Caenorhabditis elegans: one gene and its partner. The protein of the gene in region 1 purifies or fractionates together with the protein of each later gene. This does not show direct contact. Each region holds a gene or a part of one and is shown in the gene's direction. Other genes may lie near its edges.

What was found. The genes of interacting proteins can lie anywhere in the genome.
Region 2: the proteins of prp-21 (region 1) and snr-4 fractionate together in Caenorhabditis elegans (co-fractionation; one large-scale study listed by BioGRID). This does not show direct contact.

The regions. Positions count from the first base shown.
Region 1 is NC_003280.10:483,287-490,884, forward strand, and holds prp-21 (uncharacterized protein), read left to right. Parts: upstream 1-1,579; 5' UTR 1,580-1,582; coding exon 1,583-1,688; intron 1,689-1,818; coding exon 1,819-2,107; intron 2,108-2,193; coding exon 2,194-2,353; intron 2,354-2,575; coding exon 2,576-2,945; intron 2,946-3,726; coding exon 3,727-4,006; intron 4,007-4,481; coding exon 4,482-4,666; intron 4,667-5,131; coding exon 5,132-5,337; intron 5,338-5,595; exon of another isoform or gene 5,596-5,678; intron 5,679-6,193; coding exon 6,194-6,391; intron 6,392-6,819; coding exon 6,820-6,993; 3' UTR 6,994-7,117; downstream 7,118-7,598. Other genes in the region: gldi-1 (NLE domain-containing protein), read right to left, coding at 368-644, 688-763, 815-908, 956-1,092.
Region 2 is NC_003283.11:11,977,959-11,981,325, reverse strand, and holds snr-4 (putative small nuclear ribonucleoprotein Sm D2), read left to right. Parts: upstream 1-1,602; 5' UTR 1,603-1,629; coding exon 1,630-1,637; intron 1,638-1,687; coding exon 1,688-1,861; intron 1,862-1,992; exon of another isoform or gene 1,993-2,013; intron 2,014-2,464; coding exon 2,465-2,639; 3' UTR 2,640-2,818; downstream 2,819-3,367. Other genes in the region: rpt-1 (26S proteasome regulatory subunit 7), read left to right, coding at 1-23, 237-590; MIF-like protein mif-2, read left to right, coding at 2,922-2,975, 3,071-3,139. UniProt on the Caenorhabditis elegans protein: Plays a role in pre-mRNA splicing as a core component of the spliceosomal U1, U2, U4 and U5 small nuclear ribonucleoproteins (snRNPs), the building blocks of the spliceosome.

The DNA.
Region 1 (7,598 bases):
AAATACCCAAATTATTGGAATTCGAAATGGGTCTGCTAGACTACAAATTACAAATTTCGATTTAGCAGACCCAAGTGGTTTTGAAGAAGTTTGGGTCTGCTAGACTACAAACTACAACTTTCGATTTAGCAGACCCAAGTGATTTTGAAGTGATTGGGTCTGCTAGACTACAAACTAGAAATTTCGATTTAGCAAACCCAAATAATAGTGATTTTCAAAAGGGTTTCAGTAAAAATACATCGTTTCAGTGGGGTTTTAATGGAAATTTTAAGAGAACATTGTAGTGATAAATACAATTTTACGGCGATTTTTTGTAGAAAACCCAAATTTTCAAGACATTTCAGTGATAAATGCGATTTTCCTGCACCTCGTGATCCATTGCTTGTGCCTTTTGAGCGTTTTTCCGATTTGCTCTCCGGTTTTCGCGTTCCAAATGCAAATTTCTCCGTTTTTGCAAGCCGAAGCGATTTTCGTAGCATCCGGTGACCAGGCGATGCAGAGAACCCAACTTTTATGGGATTTACACGTGTGGAGAGGCAACTCGAGCTCAATATCCCAGATTCGCATTGTTTGATCGCCGGAGCCCGACGCTAGACCACGTCCGTCAGGGCTGAACTGAGCAGAGATTACTGGCTCTCCGTGACCTGAAAAATATATTTAAATGCGTCAAAACGATCAAAAAATTACCTGGAATGCTAGCGGAGCATCTGGTAACTGGTCTCACACGGAACACTGCTTGTGGCTGATAAACAAGCTTTAATGTCTGAAATTTTAAATTTTTTAAAAAGTTTTCTATCTTCTTTCAAGGGCTTACAGTCTCAAAATCAATTTCCTCTAACGATTTTCGAATGGAATCGACAATTTCAGCGCCTTCTGTGGTGAAGAAGGAAATCGGCACAGGATCGTCACTGAAAACTCAGGATGAGATACAGAAAATTCATTATTCAAACAAAACCTGCTCCCGAGAAGCTGATTACACAAAATTTGCAGCTCATTCGTGGAGATGTCCACTGGAACAAGGATTCCCGATCCTCCGAGCTCGTTTTCGTCCTCTGACACGAAGCTGACCGAGATTTGTGGACTTTCAGTCATTTTGTTACCTGAAACCGTTTGAGTTTTAATTATTTTGAAAGTTATAACAAGGGAAATCGTTGAAATTGAACTGGAAATCGAAGAAATTCGTTAAGAAATTGCGCTAAATAAATTATTTTTCTCAGTGGAGCGAAGAAAGAAATACAGTGGAAAAAGTTAGGCCATCACTTTTTAGCATTCATTTGTATAGAGAAAACTGTAAATTTTTTACAGATTGTTATGTTTTTACACAATATAAAACATTTTTAACGTAACAGCAGTAAAAACTATGTCGAAAACAATAAAGAATAGATAAAAACCTACCGGGAAAATTTGAATTTGGTCATGGTCGAGTTCTGTAGTGGCCTAGTAACCTCCACTTAATATTCGAAAACGTTTATTTTTCAGTTTATTGCTTTATTTCTCTATTTTTAATTAAATTATTAATTTTCCTGAATTTTTTGCGAAATTTACGAATTTTCAAATTATTTATCTTATAAATTTGCAGAAAATGACTGCAGTTGTCTCAAACCGCGAGGAGGACTCGATGAACAACGAGCCCTCGTTGTCAGGGCGTGCGATTATTGGATTAATCTACCCGCCGCCGGATATTCGCAGTAAGTTTTATAGTTTAAACCAAAAATAAAACAGTTCTGCATGGTTTTGGAAAGATTTCACGCGGAATTCCGCAAAAACTAGGGCAAATCGATATTTTCCAAAAATAAGCAATACATTTTCAATTTTCAGCAATCGTCGACAAAACCGCCCGTTTCGCTGCAAAAAATGGAGTGGACTTTGAGAATAAAATCCGCGAAAAGGAGGCGAAAAACCCGAAATTCAACTTTCTCTCCATCACAGACCCATACCATGCCTACTACAAAAAGATGGTCTACGATTTCTCAGAAGGCCGAGTTGAGGCTCCGAAAGTACCGCAAGCAGTGAAAGAGCACGTGAAAAAGGCTGAATTTGTGCCTTCAGCTCCACCGCCGGCCTACGAGTTCTCAGCGGATCCATCCACGATTAACGCCTATGATTTGTAAGTTTTTTAGAACTTCTAGAACTAAAATTAGATGAAAAAGCTATTTTTAACCTAAAATGAAGTGAAAACCTTATAAATTGCAGAGATTTGATCCGACTCGTTGCTCTGTTCGTTGCACGAAATGGCCGTCAATTTCTGACTCAATTGATGACACGAGAAGCCAGAAATTATCAATTCGACTTTTTGAAACCGGCTCATTGCAACTTTACATACTTCACAAAGCTCGTTGATCAATATCAGAAGGTAAAAATCAAGAAAATCTGCGTATTTCTAAGAATTTTTAAAAAAATCTAGATTTTTCGGTTGAAAACTCAAAAAAAATCCAGCTTTTTCGGTAGAAAACTCAAAAAAAAAACATTTTGATAACTTTTTCACTATTTTCAGTTTAAAGATGGCGGAAAAGTGAGCTTTATAACTTTTATTTGAAATTTTTAAGCTAAAAGTTGCTAAAATATCAGTTTTCAGGTTCTGGTGCCCTCTACCAACGTAGTTGCCCAACTCCAAGACGATGCTACCAACAAAAAACGTCTCATAGAAGATATCAATTATCGTGTATCCTGGGAAAAACATCAAAAAGGTCTAAAAGATCGCGAGGAGGCAGAAGCCGAGAAAGAGCGTCAAGCCTATGCATCAATCGATTGGCATGACTTTGTAGTTGTTCAGACTGTAGATTTCCAGCCAGGAGATACTTCTCAGCTTCCACCACTATGCACACCAAAGGACGTTGGAGCCCGTATTCTTTTGGAAGCGAGAAATGAAATGCAAAAGGCGGCGGCTGAAATGCAGGAAATGGATATGGAAGAGAGTGATTCCGATGACGAAGATGCCGTTCAAGGTGCTTTTTTGGAGCATTTTACGTTGAAAATAGACAAAATTCACTTTTTTCCGGTTTTTTCCAACAGTTTTACTTTTAAAATAGATGGAAAACAATGGCAAACTATGAAAACGCTGAAATTCAAATTTAAGTGCTTCCAACCTGGAATATTTAAAATTTTTAGGCGAATTCACATTTTATTTCGTAGAAAACGAACAAAAATCGCAATTTTGAGTTAAAAAGTAAGATTTTTTGGGTCTGCTAAATCAAAACTTGTAGTTTGTAGTCTAGCAGACCCATTCTCTTCCAAATCACTTGGGTCTGCTAAATCGAAATGTGTAGTTTGTAGTCTTGCAGACCCAAGCTCTTCAAAACAACTTGGGTCTGCTAAATCGAAATGTGTAGTTTGTAGTCTAGCAGACCCATTCTCTGTAGAAACTACTTGGGTCTGCTAAATCGAGTTTGTAGTTTGTAGTCAAGCAGACCCAATTTCTTCCAATTCACTTGGGTCTGCTAAATCGAAAGTTGTAGTTCGTAGTCTAGCAGACCCAAAAAAATCAATTTTTTTTTATTAGCTTTGGCAAATTTTAACTCGGAAAACTAATGAATTTTTGGGACATGTGAGTTTCTATCCAAATTGATGGTATGAATATCGATATTCTCGGCTGAAAGTGCAAAAACTACCGTATTCTGACCAACAATTATTGGAATAGAGCACACGTGTCACCCGAAATACGAAAAGTATTTTTTTTTAATTTTTCAAATTTTTAAATTAAAAATGAGTATATTTATATATTTTCAGCACCAGAAGCCCCTGCATTCACTGCTCCGCTGCCACCTACAAAACAGAAAGACGTGATTGTTCGAGATTACGATCCGAAGAGAAATGTGACCCAAAAGCCAAAAGCTGTGGAGAACTGGATCATTTCACCGCTCACCGGAGAGCGTATTCCATCGGATAAGCTCGCCGAGCACGTCAGATACAATACTGTCGATTCACAGTATAAAGAGGACAGAGATCGTCATATTGGAGAAAGAAGCACGGAGGAGCCCGTATTGGCTCTTGGAGCTGATATTTCTAGGTTAACATTTCAGAAATTTCTTTGAAAAACGAACAAAAGTCTAAAAATCGCCACAATAATCTACAAAAAATCGATTTTTCGTGGAAATTTTGTTCATTTCCGCATTTTTCGCTCGAAATTTGAGATCAGTGCTTCAAATTAGACCTGGAAAGATTCTAGCTCAATTTCAGAAAATTTGGGTTATCGTAGCACCAGAAGTACTCAAACACTGACTACAGCACACCTAAGCACCAAATTTCACGACAGTGGTGAATTTTGAGCTAAAATCGATTTTCAGGAGTAAATTAGAGTGCTAAATCTAAAATTGGAATAAAAATGTCTTAAAAATTGTAAAAAGTGAAAATTAAAGATTTTCAGACAAATTTCCGATTACAAATGCCCACAAAAGATGTTCAAAGCTGAAAATTATAGATTTTCAGACGAATTTTCATTTTTCCACGTGCCAATATCACTAAACCCCAGTTTTTTCTTTCAGAAATCTTGGCAATTTCGCTGAACGTCGTACGGATATCTTCGGTGTCGGCGGAGAGCAGACTATGATCGGAAAGAAGCTCGGCGAAGAGGACAATTCGCAACAAGGGCAGAACAAACTGATTTGGGATGGAACTGAAGAGACTCGGGATATGATTACCCGAGCTGTACAGAATAAAGTCACTTTGGGTACGGGAAATCTAATTTTTTGGCGAAAATTTTGAGTTTTCCGGGATTTTGTTTGGGAAAATTACACGATTTGTGTGGTTTTCTATGTAGAAATTTCTCTAAAACACTCAAATGTTTCAAAAATTCGAGTTTTCATGAAAAACCAGTAATTCAAAAAAAAAGCAATTTCCTCTAACAAAAACCGTGCCAAGTTTTGGATTTATGATATTTTCCATCTGAAAAAAATCTGGTATCTCGGCTGAAACGGGCAATATATACCGTAGTCCAAGTTTTCCCAAAAATTCCAACCAACAATTTGTGCAATAAAGCACAGTTGCCACCGGAGATGCAAAAGCTATGTTTAATTTTCCAATTTTTGGCTGAAAATTGAGCTAAAAATTTACAATTTTCCCGTCATAAAACTCACCGAAATTTCGCTTTTCAGTGTTTTTTATGCAAAAAAATTAATCATTTTTCATTTTTCAGACCAACAAATCAACGAAATCCACCGTCAACACGGATTCGTTGCCGATCCATCAAAGGAAAAGATTGGAGCTCAGCAGGTGCCACGTCATCAATCGACCCAGGGAAATGTGACAATTACTCAAGGAATAACGAATATTCCTGGACAAATGCCATCCGGATGGCCGCCGGTTCCACCAATGGGAATGCCTGGGATGCCGAATCAAGCGGTATGGGATTTTTGAGTTGAAAAATCTCCAAAAAAAAATTCGTTTTTTCATGTAAAATCCTGGAAAAATCGGATATTTCGACAAAAATTGTCAATTTTTGGACCAATTCTCTTTGTATTGCAAAAACGAATCGAAAAATCCCAAATTAAACATGAAAACTAACATTTTCAATTTGGGTCTGCTAAATCGAGTTTGTAGTTTGTAGCCAAGCAGACCCAATTTATTCCAATTCACTTGGGTCTGCTAAATCGAAAGTTGTAGTTCGTAGTCTAGCAGACCCATTCGCTTCACAACAACTTGGGTCTGCTAAATCGAGTTTGTAGTTTGTAGTCAAGCAGACCCAATCTCTTCAAAATCCCTTGGGTCTGCTAAATCGAAAGTTGTAGTTTGTAGTCTAGCAGACCCAATCTCTTCAAAATCCCTTGGGTCTGCTAAATCGAGTTTGTAGTTTGTAGTCAAGCAGACCCATTTTAAAATTAGTTAAAATTGGTTAAAAATCGCGAATTTTTGCTGATTTCAGAGAGATATTGTATTTCTTTCGAAAAATATAAAGAAGTGGTTTTTTGTGTATTTCTGTTTAAAAAAAAATAAGAAAAAGCTACACCAGGTTAGCTGAAACTATATTTTTGTTGAAAAATAGTGAAAACGCCACCAAAAGTTATCTTTAACCGCGTAATTAGACGATTTTTCGGCGGAATTAACTGGAAACTGTGTTAAGATTAAAATTACTGAAATTTCCACAAAATTAAATTTTTTTAAATGTAAATTTCATCTCAAACGGACACAGAAATTCCCATTTTCACTGGAAATTCTCATGAAAAGCTCCAATAAAATGCATAAAGCTCTATAATTCCAGCTTCCTCCAATCCGACAAATGGACTTTGGCGGTGGACCTCCAGCGAAGCGTCCTCGTACCGAAGATGATTTGATACCAGAAGCTGATTGGCTTAAAAAGGTCAACGGAGCAATTTCGCTTAATGTTCATCTTCCACAGGCTCCCGAACACGGAATGGATGGCTCAATTGTGCAGTTTACAATTCAAGTTACTGCACCGGTGAGTTTTAGATAAGAAAATTGTTTTTTTCCCCTGAACGAATTTTTTCACCTTTATTTATTTATTTATTTATTTATTCGCTTTTAAACCATTTGAATAGTAAGTTGATAATAAACATAAAGAATAGGTAAGAGGCGAACAAATATAAGATGACCGATTGGACAAAGGTCCGTGGCCAAATGAGGGTGGGGGTATGAAAGACTTATTTACAGAAGCTTTGATGGGGGAAAAAAAACTATAAGTGAGATCACATCATAGTGTCAAGGGGCAGGGAACAAATACGTTTGGTAAACGTTTCGGCTGACACTGGTTTACTGAACAACTTGGCAAGAGAGTTCCAAAAAGATAGGTATTTATGCAAAAATATTTGTTTGTTGAATGGCCCATTGGGAACCACCTGATGCCCAATTAATTCATAATTTTTGCAGATGTCCGAACTCAAACAACAAATCCAGGATCGTTACGGAATGCCTGTTGGAAAGCAGAAGCTGATGTCTGATGGCCTTTTCGTGAAGGATAATATGAGCTCGGCCTTCTACAATTTGGCAGATCGGACGGCGATTTATCTGCAAGTGAAGGAGCGTGGAGGAAAAAAGAAGTGATGAGCTATCGATTATTTATTACTCTTATTAATATTTATTTTCTTTCAAACTTTATTCTAAAATTGGACGCCAATTTTAATTCTTCAAATCTCAACTTTTCTTCCAATAAATTTGTAAAAAAACCGTTCTGTAAATTTGGAGTGGAAAATCTAAAAGTTCAGACATGGCTATACAAAATTCAGATTCAGCATGTCAAATTACCCCGGGACACTTTTTCTCCGGCTTTTAGCCTTAAATTTCAGAAAATTGGGTTACTGTAGCACCAAAAATACGCAAACATCGACTACAGTACCCCAAAACACCAAATCTTACTACACTGAAGAGTTTTGGGCTGAAAATTGATGTTTAGGGGTAAACTGGAGTGCTGAAATCAAAAATTAATATGAAAATTCTAAAAAATCGATATGAAAATCTTAAAGTCCGGCATTTTCAGACAAATTCTTGATTTTTCTTGGTTCAAATAATAAATTCGAATTTTTTTGTTTATTTTGTTCAGATATCCAGATTTTTTAAATTTTACTTGTTACAGGACATTTTCAGAACAAAAAATACTAGAAAAACAGAAAAAAATTGCGTTTTCAGTAAAAACAAAACATTTTTTGCAC
Region 2 (3,367 bases), on another chromosome or scaffold:
TCGATCCACGTGGAAACATCAAGGTTTGTCTTTAATTCTTTATGGAAATAACCCAAAAAAATCTGTAATATAAATTTATTTATCTCTTGCTTTCTTGAAGGCAGTTTATATCATTAGTTCAGTCCTTTCATCCAAAAAAAAAGACACACATTTTTCGTTTGATAAGTTTCCAAAAAATTAATGCTTACATGTATTGTAAATATGAGTGTTTCATTAAAATAATTTGATATTTTCAGGTGCTTATGGCAACAAACAGACCGGACACTCTCGATCCCGCTCTCATGAGACCTGGTCGATTGGATCGTAAAGTCGAATTCGCTCTTCCAGACCTTGCAGGTCGTGCTCACATTCTCAAGATTCATGCAAAACAAATGAGCGTTGAAAGAGATATTCGTTATGATTTACTTGCTCGTCTGTGCCCAAACAGTACAGGAGCCGAAATTCGCTCAGTCTGCACCGAAGCTGGAATGTTTGCAATTCGTGCTAGAAGAAAGGTGGCAACTGAAAAAGATTTCCTTGAAGCTATCAATAAGGTTGTCAAGGGATATGCCAAATTCAGCGCCACTCCAAGATATCTGACACATAATTAATTGTACCCTATTCGGTTTTCATTCTCTTTCCGGTCCTCGATTAACTTATTTTCGCCCGTCCACCCATTTTTTTTTGTACAGATTCCCCATGTCTCCGATTTTTGTCTTATTTATTACATCCTATCGTCGTGAGATGCACCCAAGTTGGCCCAACACTGTCAGATGTATTCGTTTCGATTTTATGGATAAATGTGATTGGGTTTCTGACTATTAAAACTTGTATACACCAGTTTAAATGAATCTGAAAACGTGCCATAAAACCTTTTCATAAGAAGAGTAGTAATCTAAACGCGATTACGGTGTAATGCCAGAAAAAGTAAGAATAGAAGAAATTGGCAAGCGTATTTTAATGGTACTAATATTGTGCACACTTTACCTAGGAATATATTTTTCATCTCTACAATGTTGACTAGCGCCCTGAATGCTCCAAGGATACTGTTTTCCAACTAAATGTTCAACTGTTCAGTATTTATATTCTGCCTCCTAGAGGCGTTCAAAAATTGCGTATGCCACCCATGTTTCAGGGGACATCGCGGGCAATTGGGAAAAGTTTTCAACCAGCAATAAACGCACCTCGGCAAAGCCTCATTGGTCACGTTATCGCCCCAGCGCAAAGCTAAATTCAGCAGCTCACTCAGCTGATCCTATAAAACACAGCAACCGACAAATCGCGGCTTTCGCGCACAATGGTGCTTTCTGCATTCTGTATTCTTCGGAATGCGGCGCGTGTGCGTTGCGGTCGTCTTTTTCGAATTGCAATCGCTCGCGGTTTATCGGAGTCTCTCTGTTTTCTTGAAACGAATCTCTTCCCTTCGATTAAAACTGCATAAAAACTAATAAAAATCTCAAAATTGATTTTTCTTCTACTTTCTTAAGATCTGTAAAGTTTCGTTCCTCCGAATTCCTCTTTATGATTATTTAGAAAACCTCGCCCAATACCTTATTCTTCACTCTTATCGGTATTTTTTACATGAAATTATCATTGATTCTCAGCTAACCAATTTAATTTCAGGGACTTCTATCAAAATCAACTTTGATCATGTCGGCGTGAGTTCACATTGTTTTCATTGACCAGTAGTTTAAATTTATTTTTACAGCCAAGCCAAACCCCGTTCAGAGATGACTGCTGAAGAACTCGCTGCAAAGGAGGACGAGGAATTCAATGTCGGACCACTCTCCATCCTCACCAACTCAGTCAAAAACAATCATCAAGTTCTCATCAATTGCAGAAACAACAAGAAGCTTCTCGGAAGAGTTAAGGCTTTTGACAGGTTAGGTTTCTTAGAAATACTATTAAGTAAAAACTCACAAGTATTTGTCGGTAGTAAACTTCAGACAACATTTTTTAAAGAAAAGTGTTTCAAAAATAATATTTGAATCATCGATAGTGAACGTATTTTGGTTGTCGTCTCGATGCTGTAGCAAAATATCATTTACTATATATAATGCATTTATTCCGTTTGTCCATAGTTTGTAGTCTGTGAAGGTTTGGCTTAGTGTAGGGATATAGTCGGGGTACTGTAGTGGTACAATAGTGGTACGGTAGGAGTACTGTATGATTATGGTAGTTTCAGAAAAATTAGTTTTCAGCCCCAGAAGTCGGGGCAGCGCCAGAGGTGCGGTCCACGGCTGGTAGATTTAATAAAACGGCACGATCCTCCTGTGCTGTAACAAATTGTCGTGGCATCAAATTATTCAAACACGTATTGCTACGATTTCCAAAGGGAAAACACAAATCTTACACTAATATAAGTACTTTCTCATTTGCCGTAACTTTCGTGTCCCGCAAAGCATGCAAAATTCCAAGAGGAGTTTTCTACTATTGTTCGTATAAAAATAATTGGAACGTATAGTCTAATTCTTTACTTTTTCAGACATTGCAACATGGTCCTCGAAAATGTGAAGGAAATGTGGACTGAAGTGCCAAAGACTGGAAAGGGAAAGAAGAAGGCAAAGTCTGTCGCCAAAGATCGTTTCATCTCAAAAATGTTCCTCCGCGGAGACTCCGTCATTCTCGTCGTCAAAAACCCACTGGCACAAGCTGAATAATTCACCTTCAGAAAATCTCCCAATCAGTACGGTTTTCTCGTATTTGTTATGACACCTTACAATTTTCGAAATTTTCACTCTTGTTCTTCCCCCTCCCGTTCACCCTGTTGTTTCGTTTCAATGATCATCATTTTCCACTTTTTATTTATTGATAAACGTTCCTATTTAATACCACAGTCGTGTTTTTTTCTGAAGTTGAATCCGTATCCTCGCGGCAGATGATTTTTGTAGTTCTGCGTGATTGTTGCTTGAACTTGAAACCGGTTTTTCGATTTTTCGTCGATGTTGACTGTCAGTGCTATCAGAATATCATCGTCTTTCGTCTTCAAAGTTCAGGTTACTATTGGTCGTTATTTTTTGAATAAAAACGCTATATTCCACGTTTTTCATGAAATGTGATTTATTGCCATATTCCAAAAAATCAATTTCAGAAACGAAAAATGCCGATGGTCAGAGTTGCGACGAATCTACCAAATGAGAAGGTTCCTGTTGATTTTGAGGTTTGTGTTTTAATCAAACATTTTCTAAACGACTCAACAAACACTGAACAGTCTAGAGAAAATTTGTAGAAAAAAACAAGTATTTTAAGAGAAACAAATATGGTTCCCGGTCTCGACACGACGAGTTTTTTCGTTGCGAGAAAGTGTGCGCCTTTAAAGATTACTGTAATTTTATACTCGAGTTTCTGCAGAATTCTTAAAGATTTTATATAGTTTTTCTCACAATAA